3 linked regions of the Canis lupus familiaris genome follow. The protein of the gene in region 1 purifies or fractionates together with the protein of each later gene. This does not show direct contact. Links are inferred from orthologs where the notes say so. Each region holds a gene or a part of one and is shown in the gene's direction. Other genes may lie near its edges.

What was found.
Region 2: the proteins of DPF2 (region 1) and SMARCD1 purify together in Homo sapiens (affinity purification with mass spectrometry; 9 studies listed by BioGRID and IntAct, counting the BioPlex papers as one, with this or other methods). This does not show direct contact. The link is inferred for Canis lupus familiaris from reciprocal best matches to the Homo sapiens genes DPF2 and SMARCD1.
Region 3: the proteins of DPF2 (region 1) and SMARCD2 purify together in Homo sapiens (affinity purification with mass spectrometry; 6 studies listed by BioGRID and IntAct, counting the BioPlex papers as one, with this or other methods). This does not show direct contact. The link is inferred for Canis lupus familiaris from reciprocal best matches to the Homo sapiens genes DPF2 and SMARCD2.

The regions. Positions count from the first base shown.
Region 1 is NC_049239.1:52,348,174-52,354,831, reverse strand, and holds the start of DPF2 (zinc finger protein ubi-d4), read left to right. Parts: upstream 1-2,816; 5' UTR 2,817-2,935; coding exon 2,936-2,967; intron 2,968-6,658. UniProt on the Homo sapiens protein: Plays an active role in transcriptional regulation by binding modified histones H3 and H4. Is a negative regulator of myeloid differentiation of hematopoietic progenitor cells. Might also have a role in the development and maturation of lymphoid cells.
Region 2 is NC_049248.1:42,019,959-42,026,516, forward strand, and holds part of SMARCD1 (SWI/SNF-related matrix-associated actin-dependent regulator of chromatin subfamily D member 1), read left to right. Parts: intron 1-290; coding exon 291-452; intron 453-546; coding exon 547-644; intron 645-2,748; coding exon 2,749-2,884; intron 2,885-4,871; coding exon 4,872-4,994; intron 4,995-5,918; exon of another isoform or gene 5,919-6,335; coding exon 6,336-6,437; exon of another isoform or gene 6,438-6,558. UniProt on the Homo sapiens protein: Involved in transcriptional activation and repression of select genes by chromatin remodeling (alteration of DNA-nucleosome topology).
Region 3 is NC_049230.1:15,134,312-15,140,869, forward strand, and holds the end of SMARCD2 (SWI/SNF-related matrix-associated actin-dependent regulator of chromatin subfamily D member 2), read left to right. Parts: intron 1-15; coding exon 16-58; intron 59-200; coding exon 201-323; intron 324-1,487; coding exon 1,488-1,643; intron 1,644-2,061; coding exon 2,062-2,157; intron 2,158-2,275; coding exon 2,276-2,377; intron 2,378-2,504; coding exon 2,505-2,666; intron 2,667-2,808; coding exon 2,809-2,906; intron 2,907-3,270; coding exon 3,271-3,406; intron 3,407-3,585; coding exon 3,586-3,708; intron 3,709-3,844; coding exon 3,845-3,946; intron 3,947-4,020; coding exon 4,021-4,074; 3' UTR 4,075-4,961; downstream 4,962-6,558. Other genes in the region: PSMC5 (26S proteasome regulatory subunit 8), read right to left, coding at 5,062-5,115, 5,215-5,301, 5,394-5,504, 5,584-5,682, 5,770-5,960, 6,059-6,185, 6,498-6,558. UniProt on the Homo sapiens protein: Involved in transcriptional activation and repression of select genes by chromatin remodeling (alteration of DNA-nucleosome topology).

The DNA.
Region 1 (6,658 bases):
GTGCCACTGGGGCTGCCCTCATTTTAAATTTCTTATTGAAATATACATGCTGTGAAGTGCCCAGATTTTGTGTGGTTCAATAAAATTTTATAAAGTGAACAAATCTATTGTACCCACTACCAGATGAAAAAGAACATAACTAGCACCTTTCATTTTTTTAAATAATAAATTTATTTTTTATTGGTGTTCAATTTGCCAACATACAGAATAAGACCCGGTGCTCATCCCATCAAGTGGCCCCCTCACTGCCCGTCACCCACTCACCCCCACCTCCCGCCCTCCTCCCCAACTAGCACCTTTCATGGCACTTCTTGTCACTATCCTCTGAAGAGAAGTACTCTTGAGTTTTCACCCCAGAGATTAGTGTCTGAGTAAGGTTTTTTTTTGTGTGTGTGTGTAAGTTTTTATAAGCGGAATCATACGCCATGCTTTCTTTTGAAACTGGCTTCTTTCACTCAATATTAAGTTTTTGAGATTCGCTCATGTTGTTGTAGAAAAATAATTTGTTCTTTCCATTTTGTTTAATTCATTCTACTGTTATGGGCATTGTTTTTTTTTTTTTTTTTTTTTTTTTTTTCCAGGCTTCAAGCTACTACAATTAATGCTGTGGTGTACATACTTGCACGTGCTTTTTGGTGTATATATCCACAAGTGAAGTTGCTGGGTCATAGTATCTCTGTGTGTTCAGCTTTAGTGATAAAACTGTCTTAGTCAGCTTGGGCTACTATAACAAAATATTATAGACTGGGTGGCTTAAACAACAGACATTTATTTCTCACCATTCTGGAGGCTGGGAAATCCAAGATCAAGGTGCCAGCAGATTTGGTGGCCGGTGAGAACCCGATTCCTGGCTTGTAGACATCTGACTTCTTGCTGTGACATTACATGGCCTTTATTAGGGAGAGAGATCTCTGTCTTCCTCTTCTTATAAGGGCACTAATCGCATCATGAGGTCCCCCCCACCTTCATGACCTCATCTAAACCTGATCACTTCCAAACAGCTCACCTCCCAAATATCATCATGTTGGGGGTTAGTACTTCAACATATGAAGAAGGGGAGCACAAACATTCAAGCCACAACATACACTGTACTTTTCACTCCTGCTTTGGAGTCACCTCTGATACTCTTTGTTCCCACAATCATTTAGTTCCTAGGGGTAAAAGAGTGGACCGGTATTGTTTCTGGTTTTTTTTCCCAAGCTGCTGGCACCTATTCTGCAAGTTGAGTGCAGGGTAGGCAGTGACAAACACCTTGCAACTCTCAACTGCCAAAAATTATTTTAAGGCACAGTGATGGTAAGATGTCACCTGGTTCTGAAATATTAAAATAGGGGATGGGGGCAAGAAATATACGCATCTCGGAATTTATGGAATGAGGTATATGGCAAAGACCATGGCCTGAGGACTGTGACATTTACAAGTGGAACAAAGGACAGACTTAACAAAAGAGGTAAAGGAACTTCAGTGTGCTTAGAGCACATCTAAGAGAATGCTGGTCTCAGAGACCCTGAAAAGAGCTTGAAAAAGGAGGGAATGTGGGGGGAATGTGGGTTGAACGCTGGACTCTTGATGTTGGCTTAGGTCATGATCTCAGAGTCATGGGATCAAGCACCCCCACCCCCATCGGGCTCCTTGCTCAGCATATCCCTCTCCCTCTTCTTCTCACCCCCTCCTTTCACACGCTCTCTTTCTTAAATAAATAAATCTTTAAAAAGGAAAAAGGAGGGAATGGTCAGTGGTGTCATGGTGTCTGTGTTTCAACGAACCAGTAGGAACAAAATCATTAAACTGGGCAGAAGGGGCCTTGGAAATAAGTCAGCAGAGATACGGAGTATAAACAGAAACTTTGCCTTGAAAGGATGGAAAAAATGGGACGATAATCCAAGGCCACCATGGGCTGCAGGAAGGGCTCTCTGATTTTTATTTTTTAAATTTGTAATTTTTGTTGTATTATTTATTTATTATTTATTTATTCATGAGAGACACAGAGAGAGGGAGAGAGAGAGAGGCAGAGACACAGGCCGGAGAAGCAGGCTCCATGCAGGGTGCCTGACGTGGGACTCAACCCCGGGTCTCCAGGATCAGGCCCTGGGCTGAAGGCAGCGCTAAACCGCTGAGCCACCGGGGCTGCCCAGGGCTCTGATTTTTATTTTATTTTATTATTTTTATTTTTTTTTATTTTTACAGGGGCTCTGATTTTTAAAGATGTTAAGCCATGTTTGTACACGAATTTGCGATTCAACGGTGAAGGAGAAATGAATGGTACGAAAGATTCAGGGATAATTGCAGGAGGGAAGTTCTTAGAGCCTAATTGGAGGGACAGAAGTAGGAAGCAAGGGAGGTGGGTAGCACTGAAGTTGGTGGCAGGGTTTTGTGGGAGGAAGGGGAGGCAATTTTTGCCAAGACTCCAATACTCATGCCAAAGAACTGCTCAGTTCGGGACGTTAATCTTCCTCTCCCTGAACGGGCACACGACTGGAGGCCCAAGCGGATGGTGCACCGTCTTCTGCTGTCCACCAACAGCCCCCTCCCCGCGCCCGTGAGTGAGGACAAAGGGTTAACCACAAGGTTAAAGGTCGGTGAGGCAGCAGTACGCATAGGCTCCATCTAGCCTAACTCTGGGCCTCCAGTTTTCACCAGCTTCATGTCATCATTTCATCAATCCTCTCCTTTCTGTACCAGCCCAGACGCTCCCTCCCCGGTCCGGTCCTCACGGTGGAAGACCCCGGGCTCCCCGCCCCCGTGCCCGTCGCGCCTGCGCGTTGGGCTCCCTGGGCTCCCCCGCCCCTGTGGACAGTCACGAAGCTGCTCTCGGGCGCGCGTGCTCGGGCGGCGCCTGCGCAGAGGAACGAGGAAACCGGTTCCCCGGTGCGGTCCCTGCGCCTGCGCGCTGAGGGCTCCGGGCCTCCCGGCCTGAGGGAGAGGAGCAGGGAAGATGGCGGCTGTGGTAGAAAATGTAGTGAAGCTGTGAGTAGTGGTTTCTTTCTCTCCTAGGCCAGGAGGTCTTGTAATGGGCCTGGGAGTAGGGGGCGGCGCGGCAGGGGACTAGGCGGAGGGAAGGACGTGCCCGAGAAAGCCTTGTTGCGACTCCTAGTAGGGAGGGCAACAGGAGACTCACAGGAAGACGTTGCGCTTCTTTGGAAACTTGTGGAGGCCCTGAGGGGGGCACACGGGAGCCCCTTACGGGCAGCCTCCCTGCGGGGCTGTGCGGGCTGAGCGCTCCTTCGGGCTCGCGGTGTCCTGAGTATGGCGCCCACGTTGCAGACGAGAAACACGGTCTGAGTGCGCTCCCGAGACCAGACGCCTCGGTGCGGAGGGGCCGGGCCGGGCCGAGGGCGGCCCCGGGACCCACCCGCGTCCCCGCGAAGCCAGGCGCCCCCCCTTCCCGCCCCGCTGCCCGCAGCAGTTCCTGGAGCAACAGGCTCAGCAGCCCTTGCGTGGTTAAGCATGGCGGGGCTGTTTTAACAGCCCTGTGACGTCCGGGGGTGGGGGGTGGGGGTCTTGAGTATCTGATACCCGAGACCAAAAACATTATTGGGAAGAATTTGTTGAGGTGCGGATGCAGCAAGGAAAGAACTTGAGGGCCTTTGCGCCGGCCAGTCCAGCCACCGAAAAACGGGAAGTGGACGGAAGCGGTCCAGGACGCCTCTGCAGCCTAGAGGGGCATCTAGGTCGGCGTGCTGCGCGCTGTGCAGTCAGTCCCCTGCTGCTGGGCAGGCTGCGAGCAAAGTTAAAGTTCATGGTTGTTGGGGAAATGGAGTGTGGTCTGTTGGCCGTGAGTTAAAAATGCTTTGGGACTTGATTTAACCCAGCCTCCTCCCTGAAGAAGATCGAAATGGGTTCGTACCTGGTGGACGAATAGAGCGAACTCTGTTTAATGGGTGAATTGGGCTTGGTGCAGAGGTGGGAAAATTGAGAGGTGACTAGTTGTCCAGGCAGGGCTTGTGGATTTTGACTGGATGACAAGGTAAAGATTTGGAACTATTCTGAGGGACTCAGCTTCTCAGCTGCCTTTGTGGTGGGCTGAGCCCCCACTCTTCCCAAGAGTCTTTATGGAGAGTACGTTGCTTTGCCCACATCCCCCCACCCCCACCCCTCCCCGCCTGGAGCCTTTTCTTTGAGAATGCATTCCCACTTCCATTAAGCTAAGTGCCTTCTTCTCCTCCTGTGGGTTTTTTTTTTTTTTTTTTTTTAACTTGCTTTCAGCTCCATCCTGCGGCCTCTTTTCAGCTACCCCTCCTCCCAACACTATTATCTTTCTCTCTGATCTGCCCACTCCAGTTTCCCCCAGCTCTTTCTTCAGGCTGACATTTCCCTCAATTTAGAAATGTCGCTGTTGATCTACCATTTATATAGTTATCCTTCCTGACTCCTGTTCTTTGTTTCCCTGCGTTTCTCTTTGTTGATTACCCTCCACCCCAATCCCATTGTAAAGGGAGGTTTTACACAGTTTTCATGCTTCCCAGAAAAGAATCAGAGCTCCTACCTTGGAAATTTACTGTACTGGGGGAATGTAAGACTTGCCTAGGTTTTGCGAGTTCACGGGTAATGGGACTTTATGTTGGAAGACTTTCTTCAGGGGAATAGAGTTGTCAACCCTTTCATGTAGTACTAGAAGGGAGGAGTTGCCCATTTCAACAGAGCATGACTTACTTCTATTAAAGGGACTACAGAGATTGTGAGGGGCACCAGCCACTAGTTCCTGAGTACTAGTAACGAGAAACCAACTTTCTCCTCAGTTCTAGCTGCAGAGGACTATGGACCGCAATTAATACATTTCCTTACAAAACTTGCCCTTTGAGAAGGGGTTTCCAGTCTTCCTGTACTATTCTCACCCAGGAGAGAGATACTTTTCTGGAGCTTCTCTTGATCGTGGTATGCTTGTTTTTTGAACAGCTGAGGTTATACATTGAGGTCAGCACTACTAGCTCATCTTCTCTGGCTTGCATCTTGTTCTGAGAGAATTTTCTTATTTATGAATTCTCTCACTCTCTCTTAGTTTCTCCTCATCAGATTCTCTCTCCCCCCCCAACTTAGGCATTTCATTCCCAGTTCTCTTACTCACAAGACAGTTTGAACCACCTTCTGAAATCCCACTTAACTCACAAGTGCTTTGATAGAACATCTCTCATTGTTCCCCAAAAAAAACCAATTCTGGCCTCCATGCTGTGACTTTGCAGCCCTCAGCCTGTCTCTCCGTCCTTCCATTTGACTTCCAGTGTCAGTATCCATTCCCATCAGCAGAAACAAAGGAGCTGCTGCACTCGGCCTGTTTATCCAATTTTCCTCTGTGTGGTGAGGACATGGCTGCCTCCTAAAGGCCAGCTAATGTGAGCCTGTTCCCTTCTCTTCACTCTCCAACACAAAATTCATGCTTACCTCAAATTACAGGCATTACTGCTCATTGAATCAAGCCAGGCATCGCCTTGTGTGTGATGTATGTCTTTTTCAGTTGCTTGGGAACATACTAAGCTGTGCCTAAGTACTATATTGTGACTGCTCTGAGAAGCCCCCCTCGGATTCCAGAGCGTGGTTTGTCGGTGTATCTTGAATTACGGACATAAGCAACAGAGACTCACTCTGCCCAGCTTCTCATGCTAGGGGTCTCCCTCATGTAGAATATGTTAGAGCTTATCTAGTCTAGCAGAGGAACTTGAGCTGCATGTGGGCTGACTAAATGTCCACGTTTGTGTGACTTGCGGCCATGCAAGGTCTTTTTACTCCCAAGTCAAATGTCCCAGACACCTTCATGGGTGCTGGGGAAACTATGGGTAAGAAACCACCTCTGCCCTCAGTTTATTTAAGATTGATTGTATATGTAAATACGAATCACTGTAGTTAAAGTTCCAATATTAACATGCTTGTTAAACCCTGAGGATGAGGGATCCCTGGGTGGCGCAGCGTTTGGCGCCTGCCTTTGGCCCAGGGCGCGATCCTGGAGACCCGGGATCGAATCCCACGTCAGCCTCCCGGTGCATGGAGTCTGCTTCTCCTCTGCCTATGTCTCTGCCTCTCTCTCTTACTGTGTGCCTATCATAAATTAAAAAAAAAAAAAAAAAACCTTGGAAGATGAGATTGCTTCTATATACATGCTTCGTAGAACCAGGTTAACTCCTGGCACTGTGTAGTTTTCCAGCTTTTTGAAGCACTTAAAGGTTTGCCCTTGATTTAGATTTCAAACTGAGTCTTTTGAGTATAAGAAGGTTCTTTCCTATATAATTTGATGGTGTGAGGGGCGCTTGGGTGGCTCAGTTGGTTAAGCATCTGCCTTTAGCCCAGATCATGATCCCAGGGTCCTGGGTTGGAGCCCTGAGTCGGGCTCCCTGCTCCCTGCCACTCGCCCTGCTTGTGTTCTCTTGTGGGTGTGTGTGGGTGTGTCAAATAAATAAATAAAAATCTTAAAAAAAAAAATAATTTGATAGTGTGAGAATGGAAAAGGGCCTAGGATGGGCCTCTCTGAGCAAACAGGGTTTACATCACTCTGATAGTACTCAGTGAAAAAGTAGGCTTCAAGGAAGTTCAGGTATTTTCAGATGTTTTCCATTGACTTTAAAATTAGCATATAGAAAAAATTTTTTTAAATTTAGCATATAGAATTAATTAGTTGGCTAAATACAAGTTTCCCCCCACTTCCAAACAAGTAGAGTGTTCATATGAA
Region 2 (6,558 bases), on another chromosome or scaffold:
ATGTCTGGGGACCCTGCTGCTTTCACAGCCATCTCCCATCAGCAGCCTGCCTGATAATTTAAAGGTTTATGTCTAGTTGTGGGTAGTTTGTCACCATATGATAAACTCCCCAAAAAGAAGGAAAGGGTCTTAATCATCTCTTGAGTTTTTTCTAGTGTTTTTTGGCCCTAGAGAAAACACTACGTTAATGCTTGTTGAATGGCTTGAATGCATGGCCACGCTAAAGCACCCCAAAATACATATAGACCTAGCTCCCTAGCTTCATCCCTCTACTCTTTGGTTCTCTGCAGCCTCCCCAGTTTAAATTAGACCCTCGTCTGGCTCGGCTCCTGGGCATCCACACCCAGACCCGTCCAGTGATCATCCAAGCACTGTGGCAATATATTAAGACACATAAGCTCCAGGACCCTCATGAGCGGGAGTTTGTCATCTGTGACAAGTACCTCCAGCAGGTAAGAAAAGGGCCCATTCTTTTGCCAGAGTCCAGTGGAGCTCTAGTTGTGCTCAAAATGCCAACTTCTTAGCTACCTTTCCTCTTTCACACAGATCTTTGAGTCTCAACGTATGAAGTTTTCAGAGATCCCTCAGCGGCTCCATGCCTTGCTTATGCCACCAGAGCCCATCATCATTAATCATGTCATCAGGTGAGCATGTATAGGAGAGGCAGCAGTGTGATGGAGTGGGCTGGTACCAACTTTGACAATCCAGTTGTCAAATTTCCAGGAAGCAGGTTGTCAAATAGCAATTATTTAAATTATTCAAATCTATAGTTTAGTTAAAAAGAGGATAACCTATACCCAAAAAACTCATTACTTCTTGATTATTTTATTGGATCTTACTGGTATTTATATTTTTGAGGTTTCTGTTTTTCTTTTTCTTTTTTTTTTTTTTAAGATTTTATTTATTTATTCATGAGAGACACACAGAGAGAGGCAGAGACACAGGCAGAGAGAGAAGCAGGCTCCATGCAGGGAGCCTGATGTGGAACTCAATCCCGGGACTCCGGGATCATGCCCTGAGCCAAAGACAGACGCTCAACCACTGAACCACCCAGACGTCCCAGGTTTTGAGGTTTCTTATGTCTGTTGTGTTTGTATAGTGGAAATATTAGCCCATTTCCCCTGCTATCCAAAAGTAGAGCGTTCCTATGAAAGCTTTCCTTATTTTTTTTTTATTTTTATTTTTTTTGTGAAAGCTTTTCTAAGCTGAAATGGCATAAAGCAAGAAAACAGGAATGCCTGAGTTTCTCAGTTAAGTGTCTGCCTTCGGCTTAGGTCATGATCTCAGGGTCCTGGGATCAAGCCCCACATCACTCTCTGCTCAGCGAGGAGTCAGTTTCTCCCTCTCCCTCTGTGCTCTCTCGCGCACACTCTCTCAAATAAATAAATAAAAACTTAAAAAAAAAAAAGGCAAAGTGATTACCATTAATTTAAATGGAAAATTTTTTTAATGTCTCAGACGCCCAAAATGACCTCTTTTGCACAAGATAAACAGAAATAAAGTCCACATGCTCACAGACACAAATCAAAGCTGTGGTGGCTTGCTGCTGAGATGCTGACTCTAGATCTCCCAGAGAGGGAGCTTGGGGGCACCACTTGCTGTTTGGGGTGCGCACTGCCTCTGTGATACTGCTGCAGCACAAATCCTGAATGCTAGTGTTGCTTCTTGCGGGTTCTCATAAACCTGAAAATCCTTGGAAAAACTAATGTAAGTCTTTCGGAAAAGCAAAGCAGCATAATGTGAACTTTAAAGAAGCAGGGGGGAAAAATAAATAAATAAAGAAGCAGGGGATACTTGTGTTAGGATGTGTTACTGCACATTTCATCCCAGCTCCTTGATCAGTAAAACAACTTTGGCAGCTTGTAATCAACCAGGTTGGGAATATCTAAACCACAGAAATCCACAAATGCTGCAAATTGGCTTTTTTTCCCTCCCCTTTTGGAGAATCGGTTGCTAGACATTTACCAACTCATTGTGGATGGGCTACCATCTCCTCTGTGGTTGGTAAAACATTCTAACCTGAGGCTCAACAATTCCATTATCCTTTCCCACTTTTTTGTTCAGAAGATGTCCTTCAAGATTTAGTTGGGACACTCCATCCCACTAGATATGGGGTGAGGGAATGCCTTTCCTCCTCCTCAGAGCAGCAGGTGGTTTGGCTGTAGTCTCTTTGCAGCCTTTCCCTTACTCCATGTTAATTCTGATAAAGGCTTTCCTTTCTTTATATCCTGAACTGTCACTCAGCCAATAGTAACTCCTACAATTTATATGTTGGATCATTAGAAGCTGATCTCTCTTGTATTCTTGTGCTAAAGTTAAGCCTTTTGTGTAGTGTGTGTTTTATTTGAATTTATTTTCAGGGTCAATTTTGTTTAATAGGGAGAAAGATATATAAGATACTACAGTAGTAGTTTCTTTTGGGGTGGGAGAAACTTCCTTTTCACTGAATATCTTTTGTACCATTTGAATTTTTACCATTGATTTTTTTTTTTAAAAAAACAACAGCTTTATTGGGGTTTATATACAATAGGTCATACACTCTTGAAGTATAGTTTGAGACTGTCAAACATGACACCATGTAGCTACCATCACAAGGAAGGTATGGGAAATTTCAGTTATGTGCAAAAGTTCTCTTATGTGTTTTTGCTCTCAACCTCTTACCCTCATTCTCAGGCCTTCTTCTGGATCTTGTGTAAATTGGTCTTAAGGGACAAGCCCTTTACTAGTCCCCTTTGGTTTCCTCCCCAGTGTTGACCCAAATGATCAGAAAAAGACTGCTTGTTATGACATCGATGTGGAAGTGGATGATACTTTGAAGACTCAGATGAATTCTTTCCTGCTATCTACCGCCAGCCAGCAGGAGATTGCTACTCTAGACAACAAGGTAGGGGGCCCCAGTCCTGGGTACCTTGGGTGCCACCAGCCCTCTGCCACAGCTTCTAGGCTATCTTTTGATTCTTAGCACTCATTCAGAATGTATTAACACCTAATCTATGCCAGGCACTGTGCTTGGTGCCAGTTGGAGCTGGCTGTTATGATTCTGCTATAGCTTTTAATAGCTTTGAGCCTGTTTCTGAACTATGAAATAGACACTATCATTTTTTTTTTAAAGATTTTATTTATTCATGAGAGACACAGAAAAGGAGAGAGAGAGGCACAGGCAGAGGGAGAAGCAGGCTCCATGCAGGGAGCCTGACGTGGGACTTGATCCCGGGTCTCTAGGATCAGGCCCTGGGCTGAAGGCGGCGCTAAACCGCTGAGCCACCCAGGCTGCCCGACAGTATCATTTTTTTAATAAGATTGTCATGAGGATTAAATGAGACAATGTACATAAAGACGACACAGTGTTTGGCAAGTGAAAACAAATGGTAACTGCTGCTGCTACTGTTATTTTCCTCGATAGACATTGTCCATGAAGGTAAAGCTAGAAACCATTCTGAGGAACACAAAGGAGCACAGGGACGCTTTCCTGGATCAGTTGATACCCCAACTAAATCTTGAAGGACAAAGTGAGAGTTAATGAAAGGGGAGAAAGGATAGTGCCTAGGGGTGTGGGAGGCAGAGGACATTCAGAAAGAGGGAACAGGGTAGGTAAAGGTCCCAAAATGAGAGTGAGCCTGGCATGTTCAAGAAATACAAGCTGTCTAGTGTGCTAGATATATCTTAGGGTGCTAGGAATGGGAAGTTTGGGGGAAGGAAATTGGATAGGGAAGCAGGAGTCTAATTCTAAAGAAGCTTTAGAAGGGAAACTGGTTTATTTATACTTTGTCCCAAAGACTGGAGGTAGCGATGCTCTTTGCATTTAGAATGACCACTGGCAGGAAGGCAGAGAGCAAGTTGTAAGAGAGGCAGATCTGGAGACAGGAAGGCCACTGAGGAGTCAGTGCAGTAACGCCTGTGACATGGTTTGGAGGGCCTGAACTTGGGGTACTGACAATAAGGATGAAAAGAAGTGGACAGATCTCAGAGGTGTCAAGATTTGGACCTGCAGAGATTTGGATACTCTTCATATGGGGTCAGTGGAGTGTGGCTTGAGGGAGGAGAAGGCATTATGACTCCCACGGTTTTCGCTTGGATGCATAGTAGTGTTCATTCAGATTGGCAACCGGAGAACAGAAGTGAATATTGGGGGAAAGGTAGTGAATTTTGTTTCAGAGTTTCATGTGTCTTGAATTATCAAGCAGCTAGAGTGGTTGGAGTTTAGAAAGTGGACTCTGATCTGCAGACTGAGGACTCGTGAACCCATCAGTGGTAATGGAAGATGTGCCAGTGAAGGAAGTTGCCAGGAAGAGTATGGATGATGAGAGAAGGGCAGGGACAAACCCCCCTGGGCCATGGCTTTTGAGACAGCTGCCTGTACCACCGCTCCTACCTCAGAATGTTTTTGCGCTTATTTGTGCTGTGGATTAAGTATTCACCATGTGGCTTCACCTGTAGTGGACATTGTAGGGATCAGAAGGAAAACTTCCCTCCCATGGGGCGTGTGACACAGTGCACACAGCTGCTGAAAGAATGCCGTGTGCTGGAGCAGTTGAGGCTCTGGGCAGCACTCTGGGCCTAGGTTGGGAGTGGCTGGCACATGGAAATGCAGACACCATCTGCCATTTATTTTATTTTTATTTTATTTTTATTTTTAAAGATTTAATTTATTCATGAGAGACACAGAGAGAGAGAGGCAGAGACATAGGCAGAGGGAGAAGCAGGCTCTGTGCAGGGAGCCCGATGTGGGACTCCATCCCGGGACTCCAGGATCACGCCCTGAGCTGAAGGTGGCGCTAAACCGCTGAGCCACTCGGGCTGCCCCCCGTCTGCCATTTAAGGTCGCATTTCCCAGTTTGAAATGTTATTAAGCTTCCTTCTTTTCCTTTCAGATCCATGAGACAATAGAAACTATCAATCAGCTGAAGACCCAGCGGGAGTTCATGCTGAGCTTTGCCCGAGACCCTCAGGGTTTCATCAATGATTGGCTTCAGTCCCAGTGCCGGGACCTCAAGGTAAAGAACCCGGGAAAGGTGCGAAGGGACTTAGATCAGTGAGGCACACATCTGCTTTATTTTTGTAGCATCTGGTAGAAGAGCCAGAGGGGAGGTGAAGGACCAGATTTTCTTTAGCATGTTCTCGGGTCCGTTTTACAACCAAGTAGGGAAATGGAGGTGGAACCATCGAGTGTTCATCTAGTACGTACTATGAGGTGTCACTGGTGTACCGTATCGGAGGGGATGCAGAGTGGAAAACTGGATCTCTGCTTTCAAAGCAGCTTGCGTTCTGTTTGGAGAAACTAGGCTCATAGGATTAATGCATTTATTTATTTATTTAAAATGTGAAGATCTAATTGGTTTTATTCAATGATTCATGAACTGGGCAGCATCCCTTCTAGTAAATAGGCATTCTGAGGACTTGCACAGAATGGAAAGTTTTGATAGCAAGGAGGTTACTAGCAAAAAATAAAGGATTGTTTCAGACCAGGTTATTTTCTTTTAGAGGGAAGGGAACCGACTGATACAATTTAAAAAGTTGTAAAGCAAAAAAAAAAAAAAAAAAAAAAAGTTGTAAAGTATGTAAGACATTATCGGAACTCACCACTACCAAAGACATAATTCAAAGACGGAGATGGGTGAGGCTGGAATAGCCGGGGAACGCTCCATGGCAAATTTCGGATTTGCGGTAATCCTCAGAGAGGAGAGCACCATAAGCTCAGGCAAGGAGGTGGGAGTGAGTACCGAAAGAGTGAAACGTGCCCTCAGTTTTCTCCTGTCCTGTGGTGACTGTAATTACGGAGGCTGAGCAGAGGAACACAGGACAAGGGGTGCCAGAAAGGATCCCAGAAGAGAGCAATGACTCATTAATAGCAGGGGGTGACTTTGGTCGTTGTGTTAGTAGTTTGCGAGGGCTGCCGTAGTAAAGTACCACGAACTGAGTGCCTTAACAAGAGAAATTTATTTTTATCTGGAGGCTGGAAGTCTGAAGTCAGGGTGTTGGGAGGGAGAATGTGTTTCCAGGCCCCTCTCCCAGCTTGCGATAGCCTCAGGCATTCCTTGGTTTGCAGATGGTGTTCTCCAGGTGTCTTCACATCATCTTCCCTCTGTGCATGTCTGTCTCTGTGTCCAAGTTCCCCCTTTTTATAAGGACACCAGTCCTGTTGGATTAGGCCCACCCTAATGACCTCATCTTAACTTGATCATCTGCAGAGACCCTATTTCCAAATAAGGTCACATTCACAGGTACTGGGGGGTTAGGATTTTGTCGTCTTTTGGGGGGATACAATTCATCCATAACAGGTATGAAGGAGGGAAACAAGTCCTTCTCCTCTTTCTCCCCCCTTCCCTGTCCCCCAGACCATGACCGATGTGGTGGGTAACCCAGAGGAAGAACGCCGAGCTGAGTTTTACTTCCAGCCTTGGGCTCAGGAGGCCGTGTGCCGATACTTCTACTCCAAGGTAGGTGCCTGGGTGTGGGAAATAGACAAAAAGGCAGGGATCTGAACCCCTGATGGATGTCAGTAGTATGAGGTGCCAGCTTCTGGCTTGTCTCATCTTCTGCTCCCTCCACTGTTTTCTC
Region 3 (6,558 bases), on another chromosome or scaffold:
TTTTGTCCTCCCTAGGCTAAAGAGGAGGAAGATGGCAGATAAAGTTCTACCTCAGCGAGTGAGTATGTTGGGCGGGGGCCGACGAGGCCTGCCCAGTGGCTGGCAGACTGTGGGTGCTATCAAGCTCCCCCAATCCTGGGATGGGCGAGCAGGGAGCCAGAGCTGCTGCTTAAACAAGCCAAATTCCTTCCTTCCTCCAGATTCGGGAGCTTGTCCCAGAGTCTCAGGCGTACATGGATCTCTTGGCTTTTGAGCGGAAGCTGGACCAGACCATTGCCCGAAAGCGGATGGAGATCCAAGAGGCCATCAAAAAGCCTCTGACGGTGCGTGTGCAGCCCTGGCCAGTCCTTGGCCCTCAGACTTCTCTGCCTCTCCTTGGCCTTGATTGCCAGAGGCCAAGCATGGGGCTGTGATTTCTTGCACTGCCGGATGCAGCCCATTAGTGAAGCATGAACTCAATTTCATGTGGTGGGACCAGCATGTTTTTAACAAAATACAAAATAGAAGTTCTAGGGCAGCTTGGGTGGCTCAGCAGTTTAGCACCGCCTTTAGCCCCAGGGCGTGATCATGGAGACCCGGGATCGAGTCCTGCATCCGGCTCCCTGCATGGAGCCTGCTTCTTCCTCTGCCTGTGTCTCTGCCTCGCTCTCTCTCTCTTTCTCTCTCTCTCTCCCGTGAACAAATAAATAAAATCTTAAAAAAGTAGAAGTTCTAATACTTCACAGTAGTATAGTACTTACCATAGTGGTGAAAATGTCATTTTTTTTTTTAAGATTTTATTTATTTATTCACGAGAGACAGAAAGAGAGGCAGAGACATAGGCAGAGGGATAAGCAGGCTCCATGCAGGAAGTCTGACGTGGGACTCAATCCCAGAACTCGGGGATCATGCTCTGAGCCAAAGGCAGATGCTCAACCGCTGAGCCACCCAAGCGTCTCAGAAAATATCATTTCATAACATTTTGTTTCAGATATTTGTGTATGTATGTGGATCCTTGATCATGATTGAAAGCGTGATTCTTATGGATTGTGGTCAGAAGTTTGCAGGGCAAGACTAGAGGGTAGATAAGGGTAATTCCAGTCTCCTCCCACACCTCCCCACTCCTTTTAAAAAATAATACTCTAAAACAGTCCCCTGAGTAATGAAAGCTTTCCAGAGACAAGGTTACTTTGGGGCCTGATGACTGAGTTGTGTTTAAAGTGTGAGCTGGAAGCTTCTGATTTGCCCGATAAAACCCTGTATGTCCCTGTCACCCCACCGATCCCACTGTGCTGGAATTCGGAAGTCCCATCTGCCTCCCCCAGGACTGTGAGTTCCTTAAAGTCTGGGCCTGGGATTTCTGACTCCTGGTTTCCAGTGCCTAGCAAGGTGCCTGGCCCCTCATCCACAGGCAGTATCCATGCTGAATGAGTCCAGACAGAAACATCGGGTAGCACTGTGTCCCAGCATGTTGGCCCACTGCTAGCTGGCTGTCTTTCTCGCTCTAGCAAAAACGAAAGCTGCGCATCTATATTTCCAATACGTTCAGCCCCAGCAAGGCAGAAGGCGATACTGCGGGCACCGCGGGGCCCCCTGGGGGAACCCCTGCAGGGGACAAGGTGGCTTCCTGGGAACTCCGAGTGGAGGGAAAACTGCTGGATGATGTGAGTTGGGAAATGTGGCGTCTGGAGGAGAGGTGGCCTGTGGGGGCTTAAGACTGGGGCCAGACACTTGGGCACTTTGGAGAGGTCCTGCCTGAGGGAGAGGGCTCTGCTGCAGGGGTCAGCTCTGGGCTGTCAGAGGTTGGAGGCTGACGTGCACGGCTGTGACAGTAGTTACCCTGCCGGCAGTGAGGTGTCTGGAGGGAGGGGTACCCGTCTCTCAGTCCCTGTGGGCTGCTGTGCGCAGAGCCCTTCCAGGCCTCCAGGCCCTCACTCTGCCTCGTCTCATCACTTTCTCCAGGGTCCAAGTCTTCAGTACCCCTGAGTGTCAGGGGTGAAGTGGTACTCTTTGCGGGGGGCTTAGCTTAGCTTAGGTTTGAGAGCCTAGCAGCCCCAGCTCATGCCCGTTACCGTTCCCCAGCCTAGCAAACAGAAGAGGAAGTTTTCTTCATTCTTTAAGAGTCTCGTCATTGAGCTGGACAAAGAGTTATATGGGCCTGACAACCACCTGGTGGAGGTGAGAGTGGCCCTGGGGCATGGGGAGCATGGGTGGGCCTTGGTCTCTTGGAGGGCCAAGCGTGGATGCTCATGCCCACTCCCTTAGTGATGAGGTCTGCTCCCCTCCTCCCTGCCAGTGGCACCGGATGCCCACCACCCAGGAGACTGATGGCTTCCAGGTCAAACGGCCTGGAGACCTCAACGTCAAGTGCACCCTCCTGCTCATGCTAGATCATCAGGTGACAAATGTCTGGGGCCACAGGGAGTCCTCTGGGGGAGGGGGGCAGGTTCCTATTGTGAATCCTTCCACTTTGGTTTCTCATAAGAACTCAGCCCCACCCCTGACTCTCCTCTGTTCATTTCCAGCCTCCCCAGTACAAGTTGGACCCCCGACTGGCAAGGCTGCTGGGGGTGCACACACAGACAAGGGCGGCCATCATGCAGGCTCTTTGGCTTTATATCAAACACAACCAACTGCAGGATGGGCATGAGCGCGAGTACATCAATTGCAACCGTTACTTCCGCCAGGTGAGCTGGCCGCCATCCTCCTTGCGATTCTCAAGGCCCCTGCTTTGCCCACTGCACCAAAGCCCCACGAGGCTGGTTTTTGGCCACATTCTCCACACTTCCTGTGCCCTCAGAGGCATCACCAAACCTCTGTACTCTCTAGATCTTCAGTTGTGGCCGACTTCGTTTCTCTGAGATTCCCATGAAGCTGGCTGGGTTGCTGCAGCATCCAGACCCCATTGTCATCAACCATGTCATTAGGTAAATAGAAATGGGGATGGGGGGATCCCTGGGTGGCGCAGCGGTTTGGCGCCTGCCTTTGACCCAGGGCGTGATCCTGGAGACCCGGGATCGAATCTCACATCGGGCTCCCGATGCATGGAGCCTGCCTCTCTCTCTTTCTCTCTGTGACTATCATAAATAAATAAAAAAAAATTAAAAAAAAAAAAAAAGAAATGGGGATGGGAAGACTCTTTTAAGAGCCATTTACTTTTGGCTTGATCTAAAAGCCAAAGAGAAGCAGCAAGTTTGGCTTCTTGCTCCTTAAGCGTGTGCAGGTTTGGCCCAGGCGGGTGGGATGGATATAGCCGTGTGCTTACCCTTCCCGCTGGTGTCCTGCCTGCAGCGTAGACCCTAACGACCAGAAGAAGACAGCATGTTACGACATTGATGTGGAGGTAGACGACCCACTCAAGGCCCAGATGAGCAATTTTCTGGCCTCTACCACCAATCAGCAGGAGATTGCCTCCCTCGATGTCAAGGTGGGCCCTCTGCCTCTCCAGCCTTCTATGGGACCCAAGATGGGAGTGGACAGGCTCTGCTGGGCATTTCTGTACACATAGCACCTTGGGATAGGATCTCTGAGTCCTTAGGGGTGAGGCCTGGAAACAGGACTCCTTGAGAGTGGGGGCCAGTCTGACATGTGTACTCCTTTCTCCAGATCCATGAGACCATTGAGTCCATCAACCAGCTGAAGACCCAGAGGGATTTCATGCTCAGCTTTAGCACGGACCCTCAGGACTTCATCCAGGAATGGCTCCGTTCTCAGCGCCGAGACCTCAAGGTGCGCTCCTCTTCCTGAGGTGGATTCCATGCAGCCCTAGGGGAGGTTTACCCGCCTCACTACTACCGCTTCCAGGGGCAGACTTGCACAGGGGTGGAAACTGCATATAGACAACTCTCTTTCTGGCTCTCTGCAGATCATCACTGATGTGATTGGGAATCCTGAGGAGGAGAGACGAGCTGCTTTCTACCACCAGCCCTGGGCCCAGGAAGCAGTTGGGAGGCACATCTTTGCGAAGGTGAGGCTCTGCCCTGTGCACCCTCTTGAGCTTGTGAGCAGCAGCGGCCTGAACCACTTGTCTCTCCTCTCCAGGTGCAGCAGCGAAGGCAAGAACTGGAACAGGTGCTGGGAATCCGCTTGACCTAACCGCTCAGGGAACCCCTCCTCTGCCTGGAAGGGGACCACTCTCTGGGGCCACAGACACATAGGCTAAGGATGGGGTGAGGGCTGTGTCCTGTTACCCTGTGCTCCCCAGCTATAGTTTCATAAATGTAGTGATAGGATTCTTTGTTGCTTGGTCCCCAAAGCCTTATACTTACTTCATACTTTGGCTTTAAATGGGTTCACAAGAGATGCCTCCTCTGCTCCCTGCAGGCAGGCAGGCCCAAGTAGGTCTGCTGGAGGCTGTACTTTGACATTGTCATGGAGACATTTCAGAACCAGGCCTGCTGGCTTTGCTTGTTTACAGACCCCCTTGGGGCCAGTGTGCGAGCTGGCTCTGGGGAGCTGGGTGAGGAAGAGGAGCACAGCTCACACTCTTCCTAGCCTTTCTAAACCAAAGTTCTTCGCCATTCCTACCAGCCCAGCCTTGCTGCTGGTTTTTTCCTTTCCTTTGGGTATTTGCACTATGTGGGAAGCAGGTTTTTCTATGCGGGAGCCACTTTTTTGTACAGGGGTAAGTTGGGGTTTTCAGGGAGTCCTGTTTGGTGCCTCCTTCCGTATTTTTTTTCCTCAATCTATGCAAGCGGCTCTGGCCGCCATCATCTCCTCGGATGCCAGAGGGCTGTCACCCTAGCTCTTGAGCCCAAGGTGGTGGAGCCTCCTCGGAGGGGACTCCAGTTCTCTGGCACGGCCTGAGGTACACGGGTGTGTGCTCCACACGGTGGAGGGCAGGGGGTGTGAGGGGGGAGGTGGGGAGGACTATTGTTGCCCTTTGGAGCTTGGTAGGAGGGTGGACCCCAGGGCTTGGCAAGTGCCACTTCTGGCAGGTTGGAAATTTCCAAATAAATCCTTGTTTATTGGTGGTACCTGGACCTGGTCATTGAATAGTATGGCCACTCATTAACAGACTGAAGTCCTTAAGGCTTGTCCTGCAGAGCTTTATTTGAGGGATCCACACAAAAGACAAGCACCTTACTTCCATAGCTTCTTGATAGACATATTTTTCTCACTATCCTTCTGCATGACCTGGAGAGAGAAAGCATGAAGTTACCAACAGAATGAACACACCCTCTGTCCCCCCTGCTCGAGATGCCGTCAGCAAAGCAGAAAGGTGGAGGCCTCTACCTTGGCTACGGCCATCTCAAAGTCCTCCTGGGTGACATGGACTCGCCGCTCCCGCAGGGCATACATGCCGGCTTCGGTGCACACACCCTGAGCAGAGAAAGGAAGTCAGGCACTGTGGCTGTGCCCTTGACCCCACAGCTTTCCACCTCTGCCCCCTTTTCCTTGGGCTCCCTGATTACCTTCACTTCAGCCCCTGAGGCTCCAGGCATGAGCTCAGCAATTTTCCGCAGGTTGATCCCCCGGGTCAGGTTCATTTTCCGAGAATGAATCTTTAAAATGTCCAGCCGGGCCTAGAAAGGAGAGGAGAAGCCTGAGCCCTGTGGTCTACTCCCACAGCCAGAGCCATTCCCTGCTCTGCCCCTCACCAACCTCCTCGTTGGGCGGTGGGAATTCAATTTTTCTGTCGATGCGCCCAGGGCGAAGCAGCGCTGAGTCCAGGATGTCAATCCTATTAGTAGCCATGATAACCTGAATGGAAAAGGCGGGTGGTGGCTCCGGCCAAACCCTGCCTCGGGCTGTACCTCACCCAGGATCTTCCCTTAGATGCCACATTACCTTGATATTCTTGGTGGCCTCAAAGCCATCCAACTGGTTGAGCAACTCCAGCATTGTCCGCTGTACCTCACTATCCCCTCCAGAACCCCCTTCCAGCCGTGAGGAGCCAATGGAATCAATTTCATCCATGAAGATGATCGATGGAGCGTGTTCTCGTGCCATGACAAATAGTTCCCTCACCATTCTTGCCCCTGTGCAGAGGCCAAGCTGGCGTTAAGAAGGCAATGAGCTCCCTACCCTCACCTCCACCCAATCACTTCTTGGTTTTATTGTTTCTAGCCATAGTTACCTTCCCCAATGAATTTCTGTACCAACTCGGAACCAGAAACCCGAATAAAGGTACAGTCTGTATGATGAGCCACCGCCCGGGCCAACAGTGTCTTCCCAGTGCCGGGGGGTCCATACAGCAGCACCCCCTAGAGAGAAACAGCAGAACTCAGGGCAGAAGCCATCCCCACATTACACTCCGTGAACATTTACTGGGTGTTGACCCTGGGCTAGATCCCGTGCTAGATACCAGGGGTATAAATCATGAACGTCAAGGTCCTTTCTAGTGCTGCTTTCTGAACTACCTCAGTGCCCTGGCTGCATTCTCCAGCCCCTCTTCCATGGGGAGGGCCAGCATTAAGTGGGGGTCCAGACACCTCCCCTGAGCCCTGTACTCACTTTGGCAAGGGCAGGACATGCCAGTAACAGCATGACCCTTCCATAGAAATCTTGCTTCTCACCTTGGGCTGTGCAATGCCCAGTGCTTCAAAGAGCTCAGGATGCTTGACAGGCAGCTCAATT